Linked DNA regions of Bombyx mori. The protein of the gene in region 1 interacts with the protein of each later gene in a biochemical or structural test. Links are inferred from orthologs where the notes say so. Each region holds a gene or a part of one and is shown on either strand. Other genes may lie near its edges.

The links.
Region 2: of the proteins of serine/threonine-protein kinase greatwall (region 1) and cAMP-regulated phosphoprotein 19, one has a biochemical effect on the other in vitro, tested with the Drosophila melanogaster proteins (2 studies listed by BioGRID). The link is inferred for Bombyx mori from reciprocal best matches to the Drosophila melanogaster genes gwl and endos.

Annotation. Positions count from the first base shown.
Region 1 is NC_085111.1:9,214,241-9,227,472, reverse strand, and holds serine/threonine-protein kinase greatwall, read left to right. Parts: upstream 1-4,395; 5' UTR 4,396-4,626; coding exon 4,627-4,725; intron 4,726-4,806; coding exon 4,807-5,055; intron 5,056-5,247; coding exon 5,248-5,476; intron 5,477-5,791; coding exon 5,792-5,968; intron 5,969-6,162; coding exon 6,163-6,287; intron 6,288-6,732; coding exon 6,733-6,944; intron 6,945-7,770; coding exon 7,771-7,980; intron 7,981-8,459; coding exon 8,460-8,682; intron 8,683-8,881; coding exon 8,882-9,039; intron 9,040-9,437; coding exon 9,438-9,562; intron 9,563-10,145; coding exon 10,146-10,358; intron 10,359-11,266; coding exon 11,267-11,313; 3' UTR 11,314-11,597; downstream 11,598-13,232. Other genes in the region: uncharacterized protein LOC134198921, read left to right, coding at 3,349-3,450; proclotting enzyme, read right to left, coding at 11,782-11,937, 12,517-12,662.
Region 2 is NC_085111.1:1,893,469-1,905,092, reverse strand, and holds cAMP-regulated phosphoprotein 19, read left to right. Parts: upstream 1-1,436; 5' UTR 1,437-1,898; exon of another isoform or gene 1,899-2,018; intron 2,019-2,170; 5' UTR 2,171-2,178; coding exon 2,179-2,217; intron 2,218-4,275; coding exon 4,276-4,392; intron 4,393-4,489; coding exon 4,490-4,681; 3' UTR 4,682-6,066; downstream 6,067-11,624. Other genes in the region: structural maintenance of chromosomes protein 6, read right to left, coding at 397-552, 1,035-1,248; tubulin gamma-1 chain, read right to left, coding at 6,264-6,280, 7,014-7,200, 7,936-8,118, 8,939-9,070, 9,487-9,607, 10,060-10,254, 10,782-10,918, 11,359-11,505.

The DNA.
Region 1 (13,232 bases):
CGTGTCCATTCGAAAAAAATGCGATAAAATAACAACGTTATTTAGTTTCACAAAATAGAATAGGTTCAATATTGACGAGAAAACAATACAAAAACAATGGAAGGAAGTTCTACAAAAGTTAAGAATGAGTCATAAAATAGCAGATGTTAAATTTGTAATTAGTTTTGTCACTTGTTCCTCCTAACTAATATAAATATATAAAGCTCGACTGTCGCTTATAGAGGTATAGATAAGTAGCAGTCTCACTTACGGAAGTCTATGAGGGAAAAACGACTCTCTCTTACAGAGGTTTCTGTTTCTCGCTAATAGAGGTTTTGGGAGCTTAAAATGACGGTTCCTGGCTATTACTCTCACTTATAGAGTTTTCTCACTTATCCAGTTCTCACTTACCCAGGTTTGACTGTATTTATTTAAATTAAATAATCTTGCACCTACATTATCGTAATTATATAAATACTTTGAATTTGTTACTTACCTATTACCTCGAAAATATTTGTAACTTAAGGGTTTTAAGGGAACCATTCCGATATAAAACGGGTTAATTATAGCAATACGCACCTCACGAGACCATTGTGTGCTGCCTTAATTTAGATTGCGGGTTGACGAATACTAATTTGCATAAATAGTTACTAAAACAAAGCTTTTTGCAGAAATAAAAAATCCACTGTAAAGCATAGGTATGTACACATATTATGCATAGAATTTAGTTAAGGATATTTTTTGGGCCCTACCCACCAAACGACTTCCCTTGCACTCTCTCATTCTATGTATGTATGTACGATCCCTCCCGGGGTCAGTAACATTTCTATTGATAAGCAACTTTAGATACATGTAATTATTATTGAGTTAAGTCCATTACACGATTTTTATTTCCACTGCATGATGAAATGATTATTAGTGTTGAAGTTAGGAAAACTTGATTATGGATTGATGTTGAAAAAATTTCAAGATTTCCGGTTTCAAAGGTAGGAAATATTGATACATACCTCAACCTACCCACCTACGTTTTTTTTGTCTAATGACTACATATAGACCCTAATAATAGGTTGGGGAAAATGTTTCTTCGCATTTTTAAAAATAATTCACAACATTTTTTAATTTAGTTTATTTACATTTAACTAAAGTATGTAGGTACCATTTTGTTCGATAGCTTTTTGGCATCTTGTAGGTAGAGACATGATCCCATTGCTATAGAAATTTTGGGGCTTCTGATCAAAATACCACGACAATTGGTTTTGGCAATCTTCTCGTGGTGTTAACCTGACACTGCCTAAAGAATTCTGAAGAGACCGAAACAGGTGGAAATATGAAGGTACAAGGTTAGGACTATACAGCGGATGCATTAACACCTCCCAGCCAAGCTTTCTTAATTTTTGCTGAGTGGCTAAAGATATGTGAGGTCTAGCGTTATCATGATAAAAAACCACACCCTTTTTGTCTGCCTAGTGGTAACAGCTCATAATGAATAATGCCCTTCCAATCCCACCACACACACAGCATCACCTTGTTGCGAGTTAGCCCGGGTTTCGCCACAGTTTGTGAAGCCTGACCGGCCTTTAACCACGACCTTTTTCGCACGTTCTTGTCGTACGTGATCCACTTTTCATCACCAGTTATCAGCTTCTTCAAAAATGGTTCGGTTTCATTACGTCGTAATAAATAATCACAAATGAGTACACGGTTCATTAGGTTTCTTTCAGTGAGCTCGTGAGGTACCCAAATATCGAGCTTTTTTGTGTACGCAGTTTTTTTCAAATGCGCCAAAACTGTTTTGTGGTCAATTCCCAGTTCTTCAGCTACGTCGTAACAACTGATATGCATATCTTGCACCACTTTTTCAAAAATGGCATCCATTTTGTCCGTAATAGGGCGACCAAAGCGACGTGCATCTTTGACATCAAAATTTCCGGATTGAAAACGTTTAAACCGATTTTTTTTATTTTTTTTATTGCTTAGATGGGTGGACGAGCTCACAACCCACCTGATATTAAGTGGTTACTGGAGCCCATAGAAATCTACAACGTAAATGCGCCACCCACCTTGAGATATAAGTTCTAAGGTCTCAGTATAGTTACAACGGCTGCCCCACCCTTCAAACCGAAACGCATTACTGCTTCACGGCAGAAATAGGCGGGGCGGTGGTACCTACCCGTGCGGACTCACAAGAGGTCCTACCACCAGTAAAATTTATGCTACTCTCACAGATACTGCACTAGGTCCATAAAGATCGCAAATTTGTTTCGCGGCTTGCTTTGCATTTTTACCTTTTTTGTAGTAAAATTTTAGAATGTATCGAATTTTTTCATTAGATTCACTCATCTTGACAGTACGAAAAATAAATGAAAATCATACATTTTCCAAATTTGTATTTGGAATTATCTTCTTTAAAATTTAAACTTTTAATGATACCAAAACCAGCCAGATACAAATAGTATAGCCAAAGAGATTTTATTACAAGTTCATACATACTATAATGCGAAAAGACTTTTTCCCCAACCTAAAAAGCGCGAAAAATGCCTTGGTGTACATAGGCAATTCAGACTTCATGCCTAATCGAGGTGGAAATGGATTTAATTTTTGTACTCTGTTCAATTGTACTGTATTCAATTTAAAGATCTTTAAAGGACATTAATTAAACTAAAACAAACATGGCATTACTTTTAAAGTTGAATTAATTTGAAACTAATCATAACGCATGATGTAATTTATGACTAATCATTGGGTATTGATGTCTATAGTAATCTCATATTTTATTTTGGGCCCAAGCGGTTTTACATGTAATGAAGTTAAGCTTAGCTTAAGGCTGCCTGTCCACCGGAGCGGAGTGAGAAAGTAATGGGGAGCGGAGTTTAGTACCTACGCGACGAGTCAGTGCACACTGCAGGCGCGCCTGGCGCCCGCGCCCGCCCTAGCTTCCCCTCTCCGCTGTCTCGCTCCGCTGTCTCGCTCCGCTGTCTCGCTCCGCTATCCCGCTCCGCTTGCCGGTTTTGTATGAAATTTTAAACTACTTAATTCGCAACTAGAGAGGAGACTGTCCACTAAAGAGGAGCGGAGATTTTGTGCAATATTATTGGTTAATATTTCTCTGTTTCTCCGCTCCACTGCCTCGCTCCGCTCCAGTGGACAGGCAGCCTAATTTAGTTGTTTGCACGGCAATTTTTAATACTATTAAGTATTTCATATTACGTAATATAATAATTACTATAATATTACGTACTGTACTATAATATTACGTAATTACTTTCTGTTGTTTTGATCCAGCACCCAGCACGATACTCCAGTCGTCCAAGTAAGTTACTGTAGATATCTTAAAAGGTATATTTTACGTTATTTTTCAATATATTACAGATGATTCAATGCTACACAGAAAATCCACATCAACCTTTAAAGTGTTCGGAAGCTGTTCAGGCTTTTAGTAATTGTGTTGCATACTCAAGAGCTGAAGATTAATTCCAGTATTGCCTAGTCTAGTTTAATATTTTAGTGAAATCATTACCGACAAAAATATTTCATGAGCATATATGTTTTGAAATTTATTGTATAAAGTTACAATTTAATATTTGATCAATGTAAATAAATGTTAACTTTTTTTTAACTATTCAATATCTACGTAACTGTGTGAAAAAGAAATACGTATTTTGAATAATTTGGTGAGTTTTTATTGTTTATCCGATTGATAATATTTCCGAGAGCTGATCAGTAGCGTACAGTTAATATAAGCTATTTACAATATTTTATTTGTTTGCTACAAATTGCATGCAGTATGTACCGACCCTTCACACCATGACATCATATGCTGTAGCTGCTGTTGCCTTAATAATTAACCCATATTACACTGAGTTTGTTGTATTCGAGGTAGGTTACGAAATATTTCACAATAAAACTTAAACTACACCAAGAAATTTGCGAATGAGTTCGTTTTCAGCTTTAAGCACGGTTTTAATATGCCCTGCATTATTTTTTTCATTCTGGAGACCATGCTAGCGATTCCAGCTTCCATCAACATTCGAGGTTTGGGTTCAAATTTCATTCAAATTATCCTTGCTAATTCGGTGTAACACAAGTCTTGCGGATTCTGTGAAACCAGCGCCAAAAGCCTTTCCGTGTTGGACCAGCACCTGCTATCTCCCTATCCAGCTCTTTCCCTATCTGTTACAATTTTATCAGACCAGTCTTCATTTACACTTTTTTTTTACTTTTTCTTAGTAGGTTTACGCATAATAAGACGCAGTCATGACTTATAAATTCATTTGGTGTTTGTGAAAGTGCCAAGTGCGAATCGAATATTACTAGACATGACTTCCCGAGTTTTAATAATTTCTCTAAACTTTGATTTGAAAGAAAGGATTTGGCAGTATGACCTTTTTTCTTTTGCCCACCTACCTGGACAAAACAAACAAATGTCTCGTTAGAAGAGTAAAATTTTGAAAGTTTTGATTCTGGAGTTAGTAAATAAATTAATAATAGTTCGATTTATTATTTGAATTAAAAATTAAATTTAAGTTTAGCTTACAATTGATCTCATATAAATGTTATGATGGCCAGCTTTAACTTGTCGGTCTAGCGATGTGCCTGAGAAAGAAGAACATTTAATAATTATTAGAGGTTTAGAGTTCAGGTTTGAAAATGGCTTTGGTCAACCCATGTGATATGTTTAACGAAAAAACAAAATGCCATACAATTTTGGACAAAATAAATACATTAGACGAGAATGTCGCAACTAAGGTAAAAGATATTAAAAAACATGTAAGTACAAACTGATAACTAAGGTTCTTTTATTCGACTTCAAGTTCCTTTTTGTTTTAGCCACCGGATATTAATGATTTTACAATTGTGAAGCCGATAAGCCGAGGTGCGTTTGGTAAAGTTTTCCTAGCACATAAAAAGAATAACAAAGACCAAATGTATGCCATCAAAGTAATGAAAAAATCTGAAATGATAAATAAGAATATGGTAGCACAAGTTGTGACTGAAAGAAATGCTTTGGCTCTATCTAGGAGTCCTTTTTGTGTTCATTTATTTTACTCACTTCAGTCAATATCATCTGTGTATTTGGTAAGTTTTGATTGATTACTACTAGATTTTATAATACTGAATAAGTATACTATTGTAATGAAAACAAAAACAATGTCTATCAAAAGTTATGCATAATTGATCTTTCCAATGTTTTCCTTTGTCAGGCTATGTAAATACTAATCTTTAAAAGCGAGGACGCTCTTAAGCTGACCCTAGTGATTTATTTTTCAGGTAATGGAATATATGGTTGGAGGTGATTTAAAGTCTCTTTTAGGAGTCTATGGTTTTCTGGAAGAAGCTATGGCTGTCTTTTATATAGCTGAAATAACACTAGCTTTAGATTATTTACACAAACATCACATTGTACACAGAGATCTGAAACCTGATAATATGTTGGTATCAAAAAGTGGTCACGTTAAACTCACTGATTTTGGTTTATCAAAAATTGAGATACATAGAGGTAATTCGAATTTGGGTTTATTATTGTTGTTTAGTTTATTTGTAAATGAAATTATAGTAATAAGAGTAATTAGTTTGGGGTTTCACATCTGATTAACGTCATTCACACAATTTATGTGGGGAAAATGATTAAAATGCAATTTGTCAACATCAAGGAATATTCCTTTTCGGCAATTTATTAAAATTAAAATGTGTAGCATTATGAACAGAATAAATAAATCATCGATAATTCGAATATTGTAAAGATTATTGATAAAAAAAAAAAACACTTTTCTATGAGATGCATATGTTTTCAGTTATATTTGTTTTCTTTTAGATTTAGAAATATCTGATTTCGTAAATAGAACACCAAGTTTAAACATGAGGACACCTGGCCAGCTTCTATCTTTAACTTCACACTTGTCATTTGGCTCTGGCGGGGGAGAAAGCACACACAACTCTGTTATCTCAAGTGATGCCTGTGAGAACCTTCTTGATGAACTTAAAGAAACCTGTATGATTTGTTCTTAATTAAAGAACTGAAAAAAAGAAAAAAAAATTAAATCACTTACACATATTTCATTTTTTTTGTAAAGTGAAATATATTGTCTTGGATCGATTTATTCATAGTAATTTCAAATGTTAGTTGAAATGAAATCTAATGCAATGGATATTTTATAAAATATTTACTGATTATGTTTTTTAAAGGTAAATTAAAGAATTTGTTTGATGGTAAATGTGCATCTGGAAGTTCATCTGCTTTGGACCAGTCACAATTATCAGGAATTCATCCTTTCATGAGTGCAGAAAGTATTAGTTTGGATGAGAATGCTGTAAGAATTTTTTCTTTATAATAGACAGTGTAAATATAAAAGTTTGATATCCGTCACTACTTAACAAACCATTTAATAGATTGTTAAAGTGTAATAATAAATTTAATGCTAAAAGTAAAAAGTAAAAGTATAGGTTCTCAAAAATCAGCATAATATAAAGGACATGCACATGTGAAATGCGGTTTGGAAGTAATAGTAAATATTAATGCATTATTAAGAATGTAAATTAATTGAAAAAGAATTCAATCTTAGTCAGTATTTAACTGATAATTAGGATAAAAAAACATCTTCTTAAATCTGGCCTACAATTTCGTCAGCAGTTAATATGATATATTATTGAATAATATACTTAAAAATATAAAGTGATAAGTTAATTTATTGAAGTTGAACCAGTAAATCATTTTTTAACAATAATGTAACAAAGTAAAATGATATAATTCTAAAGCTTCAGGATTCGAGATCAGGATCTCTTAGTTCATATCATACATGCGAGAGCTCTAAAAACAGCAGCAATTCAAAGCACAGTAAATCCACTGATATCAGCAACAACACTGAGTCGTCAATTGGTGAATCGGTACTATCGGATTCTCAGCACACTCAGCATAATCAATCTACTTCACCTCTCTGCAGAGGACATTCATTGAAACGAATACCAAGGTAATTCAATACAGGTTATTTTAAATTTAGAATAGAGATATATATATAAATTTGTGGAGACGTTATTCTTTTATATTGTGTGGTTTTTTATGTGTTTACTAACGGAAACAATTATTTAATGAAGAATTTACATAAATTTAAGATGATGCAAAAACACCGGTTCCAAAGCTACAACAATAATAAGCTTTTCCCCAATTTGAGCGAACAATGAAATCCATTAAATAAATGAGTTCCCTTGAAACCACAGATCATGATCATCATCTGGTTGTCAAATGTTGCATTGTATTTAATGCAATGTATAATATGTATTCATAGTGGCTATAAATCTAAAATTGCTGGAGTCCGATACAGCAGACAGAACACTGCATACTCTTTGAAATTTCTACTAATATTGGCCTAGATCTAAGAATCGCGTTTTATTTTGAACAATGCTTTTTTTTTGCATAGATGGCTGGACGAGCTCAGCCCACCTGGTGTTAAGTGGTTACTGGAGCCCATAGATATCTACAAGGTAAATGCGCCACTCACCTTGAGATATAAGTTCTAAGGTCTCAAGTATAGTTACAACGGCGGCCCCACCCATTAAACTGAAACGCATTACTGCTTCACGGCAGAAATAGGCGGGGTGGTGGTACCTACCTGTGAGGACAAGAGGCCCTACCACCAGTAAAAATCTTAACATTGCCTTATTTCTGCATGTGAAAATGTATTATGTATAATAAATGCATCGATCCCGCGGATCAGTGGTCACTAATGAACAGGCAGAAGAAACGATCGTCGGCTACTTAAATAAGTGCCAGGGCAGAACTTATCTTTCCTTTAACAGTTTCAGAGCAAAGAAACGCAAGCGAATACTAGACTGTGACGGGGACACTCCGACCGGTGTGACTAGTCTTGCTGAATCGAAAGAGAATCACAGCGGGCTCACACAAGAGATAATGGCTTTAGAATTGACTCAAAACACGCCGAAACGAATGTCCCTACATCCAACACCTGACAGAAGGAAGAATCCTCTGAAAGGTGTCTTGAAAAAAAGGTATTTTTTTATTTGTTATATTTTGATTTTAGGTGAAAAAATGTCCCCCCTTATTAAAATTAAATAATTTTTTGGCATTCATGCGTTGTGTCCGAACATAAACCGTGGTCTCACATGTTAGTCGTGGTCTGTTAGTGTTGTGTTGGTTAGTGTTGTTGTTGTGACAAACAGACAAGCATGTAGTAGTTCTCATAGCAAACCTTCCAATCTCCAAGACAAGAGGTCTTGGCAAAGTCGGAAGGGCTTTCAGGCCAACAACTATCCTTCGAAACAAAAAATAATATTTTTTATAATTAAGTTCAGAATTGTCAGACAATATGAGTGTAATAATTTTCGTCTGAAATAAATGCATCCATCAAATCGACAACAGTCAGTTGCTTGGCTGTGCCCCTGACGTTACTGATGTCCATGAGAATTATTATTGCTCGCTGTAGGAAAAATAAATATTTTAAATTAAAATGCTTTATATTTCTTCATAGATGGGCTTCACAAAACGACAGTCATCACTTTAACGTGGGAGTAATATTCTCAACACCAGTTTCAAATAATAAATCTGAAGCGACGAAGAAAAGGACGAAGGAGACCCGTTTCAACCTACCAAAGGATGATCTAGTTGATTCTCTAGATACAAAAAAGTGTGTCGTCTTTGGAAAACATATTTCGAATAGTTTGGAGATGTTTCCTGTGCGGAGATTAAGTAAAGTACGTAGGTACTATATATACCATACAAATATACAAGATTATGTATTACATATTTTCAATCAAAAAAAATGAAATATAAATTATTAGTGAGTTGATAAATCTCTTTTTTTATTGTTTTGATGTGTGGACGAGCTCACAGCCCACTTGGTGTTAAGTGGTTACTCAGTATAGTTATTCAGTATAGTGTAAAATCTTTCAGGGGGAAGGATGTAAATCGCCTACAGAAATGTGCAAGACTCCATTAGCAGCTGCGCACACGCCGTACAGGACCCCCAAGAGTGTTAGAAGAGGCAATCTTATATCAGACCAAAGAATTCTGGGAACGCCTGATTATTTAGCACCTGAATTACTATTGAAGTAAGATTTTTTAATTGACATCGATTTTAAGTTCAGAAAGAACCTCAATTAGAGTTAAAGTTAATACATACTATATGTTGAAATACAAACTAAATTGAGAACCTCCTATTAAAAAACCGACTTTCTACACCATGTTTTATTTGTTGTCTATAAATGCAAAAAGACAAGTCTCTGTATTCTTTGCATTGCAGGTTCATCGAATATTAAAGGTTCGTTATAAGTATTAATTATGGATACTGATATGATATATGAATGATCGAATTCTTAATCATGTAGGCAATTCCACTTGATAATAGAACGAATTACTATTTTCCATTAAACATAGGCAGTACAGTAGTATAATATAATCAGTGCCTAGTGATCTAATAAAACATTAATTATAATTGTTACGACATCAGGCAAGGCCACGGGCCGCAAGTCGATTGGTGGGCTTTAGGAGTCTGCCTATACGAGTTCATGACGGGTGTACCACCTTTCAACGACGAAACACCGCAAGCTGTCTTCAAAAACATACTGTCTAGAAGTGAGTATAACAATACTTATGATGTGACAAAATACTAAAAAAAATGGTGTCTTTTAATTATTATGTTTGTAAACTCGAATCGAATGATCTATTAAAGACAATTTTTCGGTTCACAATATGATAACATGATACTGATTATAAGTACTGGGTGTTTGGAGACCGTTTCTGAAAAGGAAAATTTTGCCTACAAAGCTATAAATTTTGGGGAGTGTGGTATCAGCGCCGCGCCGGTGTGCGTGTAAAAGAAAAGCGCGCCCGGGCGTTCGTTGATCCGAGCATCAGCTGTTTTTGATTTTGTGTTTCATTGCTGGTTTTAATAAAAAGTATTAATAATAATTAATGTATTTTTTATGAAACTATCATTTCATTTAGCCGACTAACTTGACGGAGCGTAAACAATGCGTTTAAAAATATGTTTTTTTTTTTAAATCAGCATCGATTTTTTTTCCTTCCCATCATCAAAGGTGTCTTTAGTAGTACTCTGTCTTCGGAAACGATCTCCTAATACCCAGTATAGGCACACAATAAATGAAATCCAAATTTTTTATTGTCATATAAGCGTACTTTGTATTTTGTATTCCAGATATCGAATGGCCAGAAGGTGACGAAGCGTTATCGCCCGAAGCTGTGAGTTCTATCGAGGCTCTACTGACGATGGAGCCGGCGGAGCGCCCGGCCGCCGCCGACGTGCGGGCCATGCCCTTGTTCAGAAACGTTGACTGGGAGAACCAACTCAACACGGAACCGCCATTCGTTCCCACGCCCGACGATTTACATGACACAGGATACTTCCAAGGTACACTACAGACAACGTTAGCTCCTTAAACAATTGTATTATGGGGGAATCTGAATGCGGGAATTGTGGTAGCCGAAGTTCTTGATGCGCTGATGATGTAGTGTGAAGACTGCAGTTGTTCCGTCGCAGGTCACCCATATAGGGATACACGACGGCGGGAAGATTTTACACCAAGCGTGTGATATTTTGCTCGGTAGACCGACGATCCAAATGTTTTTTTTTTTATTTCTACCTATGCTGATAGCCTTGAGAGGCTATTTCAGCGTAACCTTAACTAGTAGGTGAGCTCACGGGGCACAAACCTGACGACGTTGCTAACACGAACCCTAGCAAGACTCGTGCTTCACAGAATCTACCACCGGATCGGAAACGCGACCCACTGAGAAGATCCGGCGAGAAACTCAGTGGGCTGTGTCTGTGGGATAATTTTCTCGTCGAGACCTTCGTCGCAAGCGACGGGTTCGACGAGAACGATGACCGGTCCCACATGTTGTCGTTCGGAACTTGTATATATGCAAGCTTATCTTGAAAATGTCGTAAGCGAGATTCAGGCATCTGTCAAATATCTTGTGTTCTGTGATGACTACCGCCACAGCTTAAAGAATATTTTTGTAAAAACAACTATAAAGAAATTGAGAAATGTCGTAATAATAGTTATTTTAAAAAAATATTGCACAAAGTAGGTGCACAGCAGAAACATCTCTTTCGCATGTCTGCACATAAATAGAACTAACGTCATGCTACTCAATGTGCATTATTTTTCTTATTTCGACAACTACCCACACGAATCTGAAAAGAATTTACGTTACTTATTTTTGACGAAATTCCTATATTTATTTCTATTTAAAAATTCTAATTTACATTCAATTGTAAATTATCATCATTTAACTAATAACTTTTTGTTTCAGCCCGCAATATTTTACAACAACTCCAAGTATCAAATTTCGACATATAATTTTAAATGTTCATGATAAACCTTTAACTAGTTGAGAATGTTAGCTGCATAATAATGATCAGCGTGTTAATCTATATGAAAAGTATAAATGTTATAATGTATTTATAAATAACGTTGTAATAAAATTATATTATTAAGTCCTTTATTCTGAAGACTGATTTTGTGTCATTATTATTAACAATATGTATTATCGTTTCAGAACAAAAAATGTATCTTTCACAGCATAGGTGCTTCAATTATATGAATAAATTTAATCTAACACAAAATAAAACGATTATTGAAAAGTTTACGTATTTTATTTTAGAAACTTAAGCTAAATTGGCACATTTCGTTGTCAAAATAAAATATCAATTCATTGAGAAAAGCAAGCTTAAGGTTGTTTTTCTCAAAATAATTGAAATAAAATATTTTTATGTTTTTCATAACGGCATCCAATTTTCTACCGTTATAACGTTTTATATATTTTCCTCACTTGGAGTTCTTCTGTATCCAAGGTAGGAATGCAGTGATGCGTGTGTATACACCTGGGTACTGTCCTTTACCGCAACCGATACCCCATGATACGATTCCGACTTGGTTCCACGTACCACCTTCGTTGACCATCAGTGGCCCGCCACTATCACCCTAAAATTTAAAAAGACGAGTTGTATAAACTAGTAAAGCTATTGTTCCATGAAAAGAAAGAAAGTTGAGATAATGGCGGTGAAAGTAAATGCAAATTTTCAGACCAAATCTATCAATTCTGCTATCGTGTTAATGAGGCACGTGTAACTTAAGGGGACCAAGCCCGTTTTAAATCGAATAAATTTTATAATTAAAACTACTTTTACGCTAAAATAATAATCAAAGCCCACCATGTTGTAAGTAGTTTTAAAAGTAAGAAAACTTGTCTGTTTGTTGTTTTAATTCTAATGTATGTATAATGACTTCCGTAAAACGAAAGTATGTGGTAGAGCTAGTGATCCTTAAAGAGACAACAATAATTCCGTTCGAATAGTCATAATTTACTAATGAACGTTTGTCGTCGTTGCACGTAATGTATAACAAAAAAAACAGCTGAGGCATAGGGCCTTTAAGAATACTGGACATCTGAAAATTATATAATGGCTAGTGAATATGTCCTATAAGCAGTATACATAAAAAAATATATTTGTTCACATTATTTACACAAAGAGAATAATTATTGTATTGGATTATTCTTACACTGCAGGAATCCATACTAGCTTTTCCAGCGCAAATCATGTGATCGACTATACCGCCCGGAGCAGCGGGGCCGTATTTAAGTCGACATTCAGAGTTAGTCCAAATCGGAATTGATACTTCTTGAAGAACAGACGGCTGCGGACCACCTAAAAAAATAATAGGTATGTATAGAACGCTCGGCCTAACTTGGCTGAATTGAATAAATATCGAGAGCTCCCCTGTTTACGAATGAAACTAGATTTTTTCATTTTGTATTTTAGTACGGTGTTTTTTACATAACTTATTTCAGCTATTTTTACTAATACTAAACTTACGATCTACAAGGCATCTGCATTAATATCCAGCACGCAGATAGCCCATAACAATAGATAGATATTTAATAGATATTTGACATTACTATTATAATATACTTGAATTAACAGTTTAAATAATTTCAAAATATCTTTGGATCCGAATATATGTTTACTGCTCTCTATTGGAGCAGAGTTTTTACTTTCTTGGAGTCACTGCTTTCACCTATAGTGCCTTTCAAAATAACATTTTATCATATACGACTAGCACTGCAATGAAATCTTTCTCGACGGTATTTTTGAGCTGTTGCATAAAATGATGTCGTTGAAACATCGCACTAGCATTGCCCCTAGAATTAGCGATAACTAGGAGCAACAGTAACAACAAACAATACCAGCAGTGTGCTTAGTGCGAGTTTTTTAACG
Region 2 (11,624 bases), about 7.3 Mb from region 1:
TTTTCACCATGTTGATACTTAGTAAAAAATAGATGCAGGAAACAAAGATGCCCATCTTTACATTAATTACATTTTTCATTTTGCATAGTGATGAAGTGGTGGAATTCACATAAGAATATCTATGTCTGTCTATGGAGTGCAGTAAGCACTTAACACAAAGTAGGCTATGAGATGATGATATGATGATGAAATGGGTATCTGTGCAATAAACAAAAAAGGGAAGATATTTCATGGAGTGAGTGGTTGAAACTTGTATATAAGCTTGTTTTCTAAATATCATTGCAAATCAGATTTTTACAATACTTCTATTCTGTTTTAAATAATGCTGCAAGATAAATTTAAGTACAATAATTAACTTTGACTTTAATAGATTATAGAAATATTATAAGTACATACCTGATGCAGCTTTAATTTTATAATGCGAACCACTTGCATTGATTTCTCTGATTATTGTAATGTGATCGCCATAAATGTGACGTTTGTATGCTCTAGAACTACTGTTTCTCAGTTGAATCTCAATGGTTGCTGAATTTGCTCCACGCCTGATTAAAGCTGAAATAGAGAAATATGTTTTCTTAAGTTTTTACTTAGTTGTGGATTTGATTAAAGCTTTTATTATTTATTTTCAAAACTCAGGCAATTCTGAACATAAAACTATGAAATATTTGGAATTTCTGAATTATGATTAATTTACACAAATTTAAACCATATTTACTAATTTTAAAGATGTATTGTCAATCATATAAATTATAGGTTACTTGTAAAACATAGTACCTACCTAATGCACATATAAATGTTGGTTGTAATTGTTGGTCTCTAATTGAAATTTTGGCTTGTAATTCCATTTTTAAGCCTTTGAAATTGTAGCATTGGATACATCAAGTTTTAATTGTAAGTAAAAGAAATTTAAAGCAATTTCATTATGCGTTACATATTTAACATGTTAATTTTAATTCGGTCTTAAATGACCAATGTTGTCATAAATGGCGCGAAGACTTTCAAGTTCTTAGTTAACGTTTCAATAAAATACTCACATTGCACATTATTTCCTCTGTAAGTTATATCAGCTCTGCTGCCCAAGCCAATCACTAATGCAGATAGAATAGCACTTTTTCCACATCCGTTACGACCAACGATAAAATTTACGTTTCTGTTAAACTTTATTTTCAAATTTTCGAGACAAAACCAGTTACGCATATGAATACTAATAATGGTACCATCATTTTCTTCATTTGTGTCTACTTCCATAGTTAATATTAAATCATGAACTTAGATTATGTAGGTTACCATTTAATTACTTTAAACGAGAAAACAATGAGTGAGCAGTGAGCAGTGAGAGAAACATATATTTTATAACCGAGTCAAACTTAGTAAATGACAAATGACAATGACAAGTGTTTAATCTATGACAATGACAAAGGGCGACATGCTGTTACAGCTGATTACTACTGACTAATTTAATGATCTTGCAAGTTGATCACTTTTATTACTTATCAAATTTACTTTCATCCATAAAAACTCTACTTTCATAAATTTACGTTCTAGCAAAACAAATTTAAAATCAAGCAAAGAAAAATAATAACAATGTTTTACCAATATAGAATAAACAAGCAAACCCAAGCAAAAGATTCCTTTGCTCAAAAATTGTGAAAATTTGCTCCTAAGAAAAATCAAAACTAAAAAACAATAAACGCCATTTTTGTCAGTTAAATTTTGTTGAAGAGAATGAAACAGGAAAAGAGACGATCCAAACTAAAATCGTGAAAATCTGAGCATAGGAATTCTATAGTACTATACCGATACTAATTCGGGATTCCTTTATTCTCTACTAACTTTGAATAAAAAGTGGTTTTGTAGCAATTTTTGAAGTTAATAGGCCTGTCAATAAATACATAAAGGTAGGCCTTCAAACGTGCCTTTACATACCTGTTTTTTTTTAATTTGTTTGAAATAATAATTATTAAAAAGATTACCATAATCGTTCACAAGCGCATGGAAGCCTAAAGAGTGTCTAGAGTGTAAATGTATTTAGACTTAGTCGTAAAATATTGAAATCTATAGATTTATTTGTATGATATCTTGTCACATCATCAGAGAAGTTGTTAAAATAAACCAATGTTTTAAAATGTATAAGCTACATTCTTAATATTTTAATTAAACTTATTTTTAGAAAGCAACATGAGTGACTCACCAGACCAGAATGATCCACCAAAAGATGTAAGTAGATAAAATCGTAGAATGTTCTTGAAACCTAAACCTAATTTCCAGGCGTAATAAACTATTTTTGAATAAAAAATGATAGCTGATTTAAAAATACTTTGCAATACTGTAAATTAATTATACCTAGAAAGACAGTTCATCAAAAAATTATCCTTAGATACTTGTTTGTTTGTATATTATTACACTGAACAAATAACCTTGCAAACAAAACAGTAAATCAATAATAATAATAATCCATGTGTGTAAATTGGTTCTTATTGATAATAAATACTATAACAATGTATCAATTGATTGTAACAATTAACCATTAAAGTAGTGTAATTATATTTTTTTTATTTTTATTTCTTAGATGTGTGGACGAGCTCACAGCCCACCTGGTGTTAAGTGGTTACTGGAGCCCATAGACATCTACAACGTAAATGCGCCACACACCTTGAGATATAGTTCTAAGATCTCAGTTTAGTCACAACGGCTGCCCCACCCTTCAAACCGAAACGCATTACTGCTTCACGGCAGAAATAGGCGGGGCGGTGGTACCTACCTGTGCGGACTCACAAGAGGTCCTAGGTAGTAAAAAATGTTATGTATACAACTTGTGAAAACCAAAGAATACTAAACACCTTATCTAATATCTACACAACCAAACAATTAACCAGGAGCACAATTATTCGTTTTCTCGCATGAAAACTGTATAATCTCAAAGCTTACTAAATTTTACGGGAGAGCATTTTAAAGGTTTAACATATGATTTTTTAATATTAATCATCTTTGCAACATTTATTTTTTAGTTTTTACCAGTTACATTATCTGTCTTTTAATACTTTAAAAGACAGATAATGTAACTGGTAAAAACTAAAAAATAAATGTTTAGATAATTATAATGTTTAGATAAAGATAATTATAATGGTACTAGTATTGGATATATATTGACTATTAAGTAGGCAAAATATAGGTAAACTAAAAAAAAAACTAAAACTAAACTACGCTCTTTTGACAGTATTTATGAGAAAAATACTGGTGATACCAAATGATTCCGCATATTAACTCAATTCCAAATATTTTTGGAAATTGTACACTTTTAATGCGAAAAGACGAATTTATTGCCTCATCGTCATTGGATCAGAAATTATGATAAATCTGTATCTATATACTTTATTTACATAATTCATGCTTATCAAACCTGATAAATTTGAATTTGATCAGATTCTGGTTAGCAGCATCAAATATGATATCCGATACATCATAAATGCTCTGCCATATTTAGGAAAGAATCAACACCCTCTTCAGTAGTAACTTTCTGAATACATACTCAAAATCATGGAATCACTTGACACCAGTGCCAGGTGCCAGTGAGCTTGTTCACCCACCTAAGCATTAATAAAAATAATTGTTTACTGATATAACTGTGTCCACATTTTTTTGTTGTTGCTTAGAATGGTGGACGAGCTCACAGCCCACCTGATGTTAAGTGGTTACTGGAGCCCATAGACACCTACAACTGGCTACCACCAGTAACTACTCAAATTATCACTTTGCGGGTTTGATTTTTATTCTTCTTCTTCTTCTTTGTCGCTTCCACATTACTGAGGGTCGTGACCACCTTGGTCCAGTTTTTGCACTAGCTTCCTCCAATGTTGCCCGCATTCGGCCTGCTTCATGGCCTTATTTTTATTACACGATGTTATTGTTCCTTCACCGTGGAAGTCAATCGTGAACATTTGCTAAGTATGTATTTCATTAGAAAAATTAGTACCCGCAAGTGGGATTCGAACACCAATGCATCGAAAGATACAAATGCACCGAACGTTTTATTAATTTAGACCACGACGACTTCATAGTTGTAGTCTTCATAGTAGCAATAGGTGTGTCAAATGTTTCATAATTTTTTTTTCCTTTCTCAGCTTTCTTATGCAAAAATTCTTAAACAAACTTCTTAGGAACAAATATTTTATATTGTAGTTTTGTAATTGAACTGTTTTACTGTTAAATTAATTGACCATAATTGTTTATTTTTTGTCAATAAATTTTAATTATTGCAATATTTTTTTATTTCAGCCAAAAGAACTAGAAAAACTGGAAGAGGCAAAATTAAAAGCGAAATTCCCTAATGCGATGCTGGGTAGAGGGCCCAGTGGTCATTCTGCATTTCTGCAAAAAAGACTAGCCAAGGGAGTATGTATTTAACTATTTATTAACACTGAGAAACTTTTACTGTTAGTTTACTTTTTAGTTATAGTTCATTTTTTCTAAACGCTTGTTCAATTTTCAGCAAAAATTCTTTGATTCTGGCGACTATCAAATGGCAAAGCAGAGACCAGGCAACTTAGCTGCACCATTTAAGGCTCCAGCTGCACCAGCAAAGTTGCCTACTGGTGATGCAATCCCTACTCCTGAAACCGTACCATTAAGGAAGACTTCCATCATTCAGCCAAAATACACTACACCAAGTCAGACATCCTAGCCTTGTATCACTATGAATCCACATTACAATTGCAAAAAGTTAATATTGAAGAACACATCATAAAAAACATTTATTCACTATTTACATACTGGAATGTATAGTGTAGTCTATTTTCATTTTATCATCTCATTAAGAATAAAACACAGACACATTTCTAAAATAATTGAAAACCTTGAAGTAATCATACTTTTATCCACCATTTAATAGGACCTAAATAATGTCCTTTTATTTAAAGTGTGATGTGTTCTTTGGTACTGGTTGCATAAAAATTCAAATTTGTGATTGGGATCAGTTTAATTAAATTAAAATTTCATTTATTTTCTTTAGAAATGTGTCCATTAGAATCTGTACTGTTAATATAGTTTGTGAGAATGAGTTAGTTATTGATTATAAATAATCTGATGATTTTAGCATTTGAATCATAAGCACTCATTCTCAAAAACGAAGTTAAGTGGTAGTGCCAATGATACCTGAACACTACAGCAATGAATAATATTTAACCATGATATTGCATTAGTATCAAAGTAACACCATTAAGTCAGCCGAAGCAGGGTTTCTTACTTTAGGCTCTCACTGTGTGTATGGATATCCACTATGGCTTAGTTCTTGTCATGAAAAATGAATTTAGTGACATAACAAGTGTATATGCTTCATTCTGCAAAATTAAAACTGTTCTCAGCTATTATAGTGAACATTATTAGTTTTCCAGCTTTGGTCCTTATGTTATCTATTAATATGTATGAGTGTGATCGTTACATTAAGGATATAATTACTTCTTTCAAATTAGTAGTGTAAGTTCAGCTAATGTTACAATAGCACTAGCCTGATTATTACTTAGATAGCTATTTTTGTATGTATATTCTGAATAACTAACTGTCCTTTGTAATGTTAATATTTTAAAATCATTCAAAATTTGAATATATATAATGATTAACATTACGATTAGTTTTTTTGCAGCTTGGCCATCACTGAATGCACTACGAACATATTATATTTGTTTTTCTTATATCACAAGATTTACTGTAACATTATGCTATAACATGTCATTTTATCAAACATTTAGTACATAAATTGGAATGTGAAAGCATGTGAAATAACTGAAAATTATTTTCAGTCCATGTATATAAAAATGCCATAATGAAGGTTTATGAGATGTATTGATTCACTGCTCTCTGATGAGATGCATACTGTTAATTGTAAATTTAAAATATACCTTGGAGTCTTTCCTTTGTTATTTAAGATACTCATAATGTCAGTTGCATCAGAGAATCGCATACATAATGCGCGAAATACATAATGTGAAATACGAAGGTGATCGTGTAAAGATTAAGATGTTGAATAATTAGTGATTATTGAAAATAAAACAGATCTTGGGTAAAAAAAAAGCTCGTTTTATTTGAACAAGGCGTCACGGCAGCGGCGGCCAGGGTATAAATGAGATTACATAATGGCACTTGGTTATAAATTAAATTGTCAACGTCTTAGAATTATAGATTTGACGACTCATCTTTGGCATTCTTCTTTAAACTCTGCTGGTGATGAGCTTCGTGATATGAATCCAACATTCCGTCGCCTGTATGTGTTATATTTGGCTGCTCTCTGTAAAAAAAGAAATATACGGTTTCTCATTCATGTGTGTAACGAGGTAATAGTACACACAGTACGGTCATGCACTCCTCTACTGTAAGACGCGTAGCCACGAGGCAGACCATGTGTACATACGAGTCGAGTTTAACACTGTCAGAGGTCGCGCACATCAATCATTGTTCAACGATATTCTATATAATTCGATAATTGTTAAAATAAAACTAATTCAAAATTACGGAACTAGGTACTTAAATATTTTTCTAAGAATAATATTTCATTGTAATGAAAAAAAAAGGGCAAAGGGAGCATGGTATATTACAAAAATGAATAGTATGATCAGAATTAACACAAAACATCAGTGAAAAATCCGCCTGTTCGTGTTGTAACGAAGGTCCTTTATTGCGGTGGAGATATAGTACGGAGTTTCAAGCTTTTACTTCCATTGTACGCATGTTATTTATTGACCCCACTGGGATCAGATCAACCGAGCATCTGTGGTGGTAGTGAAACTAGCTTACGGACCCTTAAAGAGTCCCTTAACGATCAAGCTGCGAAACTGTTGTTACTCATTGGAATTACCAAGATTTGAGTCTTTTTTTTTTATTGCCCTTGTAGGCAGACGAGCACACGGCCTACGTGATGGTGAGTGGTTACCGTCGTTCATGGACTTCAGCAATACCAGGGGCAGAGTCAAGTCGTTGCCTTTGTCACGTCTGGTTATGAGTGGTGCGGTGGAGACGCGGACCTGGGTTCCAGTGCACGTAGTCGGGCGTGGCGGCGGCGCGGTACTCGTGCACCAGCTCGTCCACCACGCCGCGCGACGCGTCCAGCTCGTCCAGCGACTCGCGGAACATGGGCTCCTTGCGGAACACCTCCAGGAACGCTTCGCGCTTGCGCAGCTTGTCGAATTGTTGCAGACATCGATCGAACAGCTGCAATCACTCGTTTAATTATCTATATGAACTAGCCATACTCGTCCGCTTCGCTGGGCATTTAAAATTAACATTATTATTTATTGTCATTATTATTAGGGAGTCCAACACTCATATAAATATTAGTCTATCCATTAAGTACATGTATTTTCTACATTGATACCATGTTTCAAGTCGATCGGATGCACGGTTCAGTAGTTAAAACGGAACATCCGTAAAACCACTGTAGATTTATATATTAGTATAGATGTGAAGGCGCGTTCGTGAAACTGCAGTCTGAGGATTTGAGATCACAACTACAACTAGTTTTACTTTATTACTATTTAACATGAAACGCGAAATGTGCTCACTGTGTGCTCCTGCGGTCGGTAGAATGTTGATAATATTAAATTGTTACAATATTTAAAATGTTACAATTAGCGTCGAGTGAAAACAGCGCGGTTTACCAACTTTGGTAAACCAAAATTAGCAACCAGGATCTAACACTTGATGTTAAGTGGTTACCGGAGCCCATAGACATCTGCAACGTAAATGCCGCCACCCACCTTTAGAGATGAGTTTTAAGGTCTCACTTTTAACAGTACAATGGCCGTCTCGCCCTTCAAACCGAAACACATTACTGCTTAGCGGCAGAAATAGGCGGAGCGGTGGTATCTACCCTACTGCAGAACATGACATCCCACTAGAATCCTAGATGTGGGCAATGTGGGTCGATAGTAGAGGAAGTGCACCGACCGAGGAGATGTTGGTGTGGTTGGCGAGCAGCAGGCCCGACACCTTGTGCGCGGCCGTGACGTGGGGCGAGCGCCGCGAGAGCGCCACCTGCACGGACGCCGGCCCCCACGGGATGAAGGCGGCCAGGCGCCGCTCGCGGATGCGCTGCAGCGACTTGTGCACCTGCGACGGCTCCACCTCGCCCTGCAACCACGTCAGTGCTGACCTTTATACACCTTATATAATGTATTGTGGTGTGGTCAGTGTGCTTAGTGCGAGTTTCTTAACGTTCTCGATAGCGTAAAAGTTAACCCAATTTTGTATGCAGTTGGAACAGCGCCCCTAGCGGCAAACGTACGCAAACGATCTCATTCCATACAAATATGAGATAACTTTTACGTTATCGAGAACGTTAAAAAACTTGCACTAAGCACACTGGTCACGACGGATTAGAAGAGAGTAAATAATACGTCCGTTCAGTTTGAAGGTCCGGTTTATTGTGCCATAAGACGGTGGTGCTGAAGAAGCACTTTAAATAAGGCTGTATACATACTTGAGTGTTTACACACTACAGTATCAACACGAAGATCACCTCCAGTTGCCTCAATATAAACCAATTTGCTGGGACTGCATACCAGGTATGATTCAAAGAGAAACTCACGGCACAACAATATTGTGTAATCTGCTATTAGACATCTGATTCTATTCTATTATTTTATTGTGTGTGAATTATTTTATCACATAACTACTGTCGTCGCCTGGCTTGAGACAGAAAAGTTAACTCAAATTTGTATGCAGTTGGAATGTTTCCCTAGGTTTGCCGCTAGGGGCGCTGTTTCAACTGTTTATCAAATTTGAGTTAACTTTTACGGTATCGAGAACGTTAAAACACTCGCACTAAGCACACATATAATTAAAATAATAAACGCGAAATGAAGCCGCTCGTGGTTGCGGACGATTGAGACGTCATTCGTCGACATTTGACACTATACATACCCTAGTAACTGATGTCAGTTTGACTCACCTGTATAATGTTCAGTATGGATATGTAGCAGTGTTGGTTGGCCCTGTCCGGACTGAGCGACACCATCATGTTCTTGGGCTGTAACAGCCGCTGCATCACGTCTAGTACTGTCGTTTTGCGAATTTTCGGAGCCTGCAAGCAACAAACCAGAATTCACGAGCGTTCCGGTGTAAATTTCCTAACACACACATTCAGTTGTCTCTTTCTCTGGTTTCGACACCTAAAATTAATATTCGGCAAGACATTGTTCTACGTGATTTCTGGCAGATAGGATGATCCACTTTGATCAGGAATTAACTTCAGTTGAAATGTTTATGTTCAGAATTTATAGTACAACTGATTCAGGGTTCCAATAACGTTTCTTTGTTTTCCTTGCCCTCATCCCACCACGTGGGGTCGGCGCTGCGTGTCTTCTTTTTCCATCATACATCATCTTTGCAATCGCACTCTTCTCTTGCATATCCTCTTTCAAACTTTCCATCTAAGTCTTTTCCAATTTTATACTACTACTGGATTTAAAAATGCTAATTACTATTGGCAAAACTCACTGCGGTTTGTTCGTGATCGGCAGAGAGGGGCGTGTACCCAGTCATGAGGAAGTGCAGTCGAGGGGTAGGAATCAACGGCGCCACCAGACTGATCAGGTCATTGTTCATGTATGACGGATACCTGCAGGAATAACAAAACTTTGATGTCGTCTTCATCAACTAGTATAAACATTCTTTTTATAAAACAAATTAAAAATATTCTTCTTTAACTGCTTGTATGGAAGAACGAGCTCTAGGTTATGCAAAACAGTTACAGAAGCCAAAGACATCGTGAATGCCGCCACCCACCTTGAGACATGGACTGGGGCTCAAGTCATTGGTCTACAAGACTACAAGTACACATGTAAACAACGAACAATACCAAACACTGCACAACGAGGATTTTATGAAAAAGTTTATGAAGAAGACCTTAAACAAAAAGTACATTGAAACTTATGAAAAAAATTCATACTTGTAATGTACCAATACAACAAATAGTATTTCATTTATTAACATTTTAATGTAACTTTTGAATATGTAAATAAAGTCGGCTAATTATAAAAAAGTCATAAATGTACAGAGAGGGGAAATTACCTCAAGGTAGCAGTGCTTGCACTCATAATAGTAGACACAAGCGTGTTGATCTGTGCAAATGATGGGTTCTGTATGTGGAGGCGGTCACTGGCAATGCGATTCAATGCTGTATTATCCAGAACCATCACGCAGTCTGCACTCTCAGTGAGACGTTTCAAAGTTAACAAAGAGTTGTATGGCTGAACTACGACATCACTGAAATATATGGCATTAAATTAATGCATAAAACATTTCATGAAAATCATCCTTATTATTATTATTAATACCATCATGTACATTATACACATAATTGGTAAATTTTTTAGAAATTGGGATAAAAGTATCTGAAAATTACATTCTGCAGATATGCTATGCAACACTACCTCCATGACTTACAAACATTTTCATGCATTCATAGTCTCTGCACCTGATTTTATAATTCCCACATTCCCCAAGCCCAAGTTATTCATATAATTGTAATTGTATTTGTACAGTAGACAGGCTAAATAAATATTAACACCCATAATACATTTTCAATCTAATTGATGACAATATATCTAGTAATCTATCTAAAAGCATGTACCTAGAATGTATCTGAATTTACATTTATGGATAAAGATAAAGAAATAAGGTAAAATTCTTGGTAAAAGTAAATTCAACCACTGAGACATCAAATATGTATCTTGCCTTTTTGGCATTATAGATTTTATCTATGTAATTTTTTGAATGTAATTACTACATACCTTATTTCATCTAAGTTTGGGAAGACACTGTATGTCTGAACAAGTTTCTTAGGAAACCTATCAGACAGGTGTTCCAGTATATATGAGCCCATCCCTGAACCTGTACCTCCTGCTATTGAGTGACATAAAACAAAGCCCTGTAGAGAGGAAAACACTGTTTAATTTTATCTCAAAACATTTACTAAAACTTTTAAATCTAACAATATAGAAAACTCTTCTTTATAACATTTTACAAATGAATCTCTGAGTTCTTGAGCCTTAAATAAAGATACCAAGAACTCAGACATTAGGCCAAGTGAGCATACAAGAAACATTAAGGAATTTTTCCACTTCCATTCTGATTTACCATTCTACTACCATTCTGATTTATAAAAAAAATTAATATTATTATTTAAACTACTAGTCATGTTGATTTAATAGTAGAATTGATACATTAGATACTTATAAATTTAATGGTTTAATACTCATTTAGAGACACACTGTATGGATATCATTCATTCTGAATATTTTTAACTATTTAATATTTTTAAATATAATAAAACATTTCAGAAATTCACTTGTACTTCCTGTGCCTTACCTCAAGGTTATCACTCCCATCAGCCTCTCTGTTGATTATATCAAATACTTCCTCATTCAATTTCTCCCCCTGAGCATATCCTGAAGCCCAGTTGTTCCCTGCACCCCCACCATGTTTAGATAGATACACATTCTCAGGATTGTACAACTAAAGCAATATTGAATTTATATTAATCATAGTCATAATATTACATTAATTGATGATTGATCATACCAATATAATGACTTGTATTTCTTTTTTGTTCAACCGGTAACACCATCCTGTCT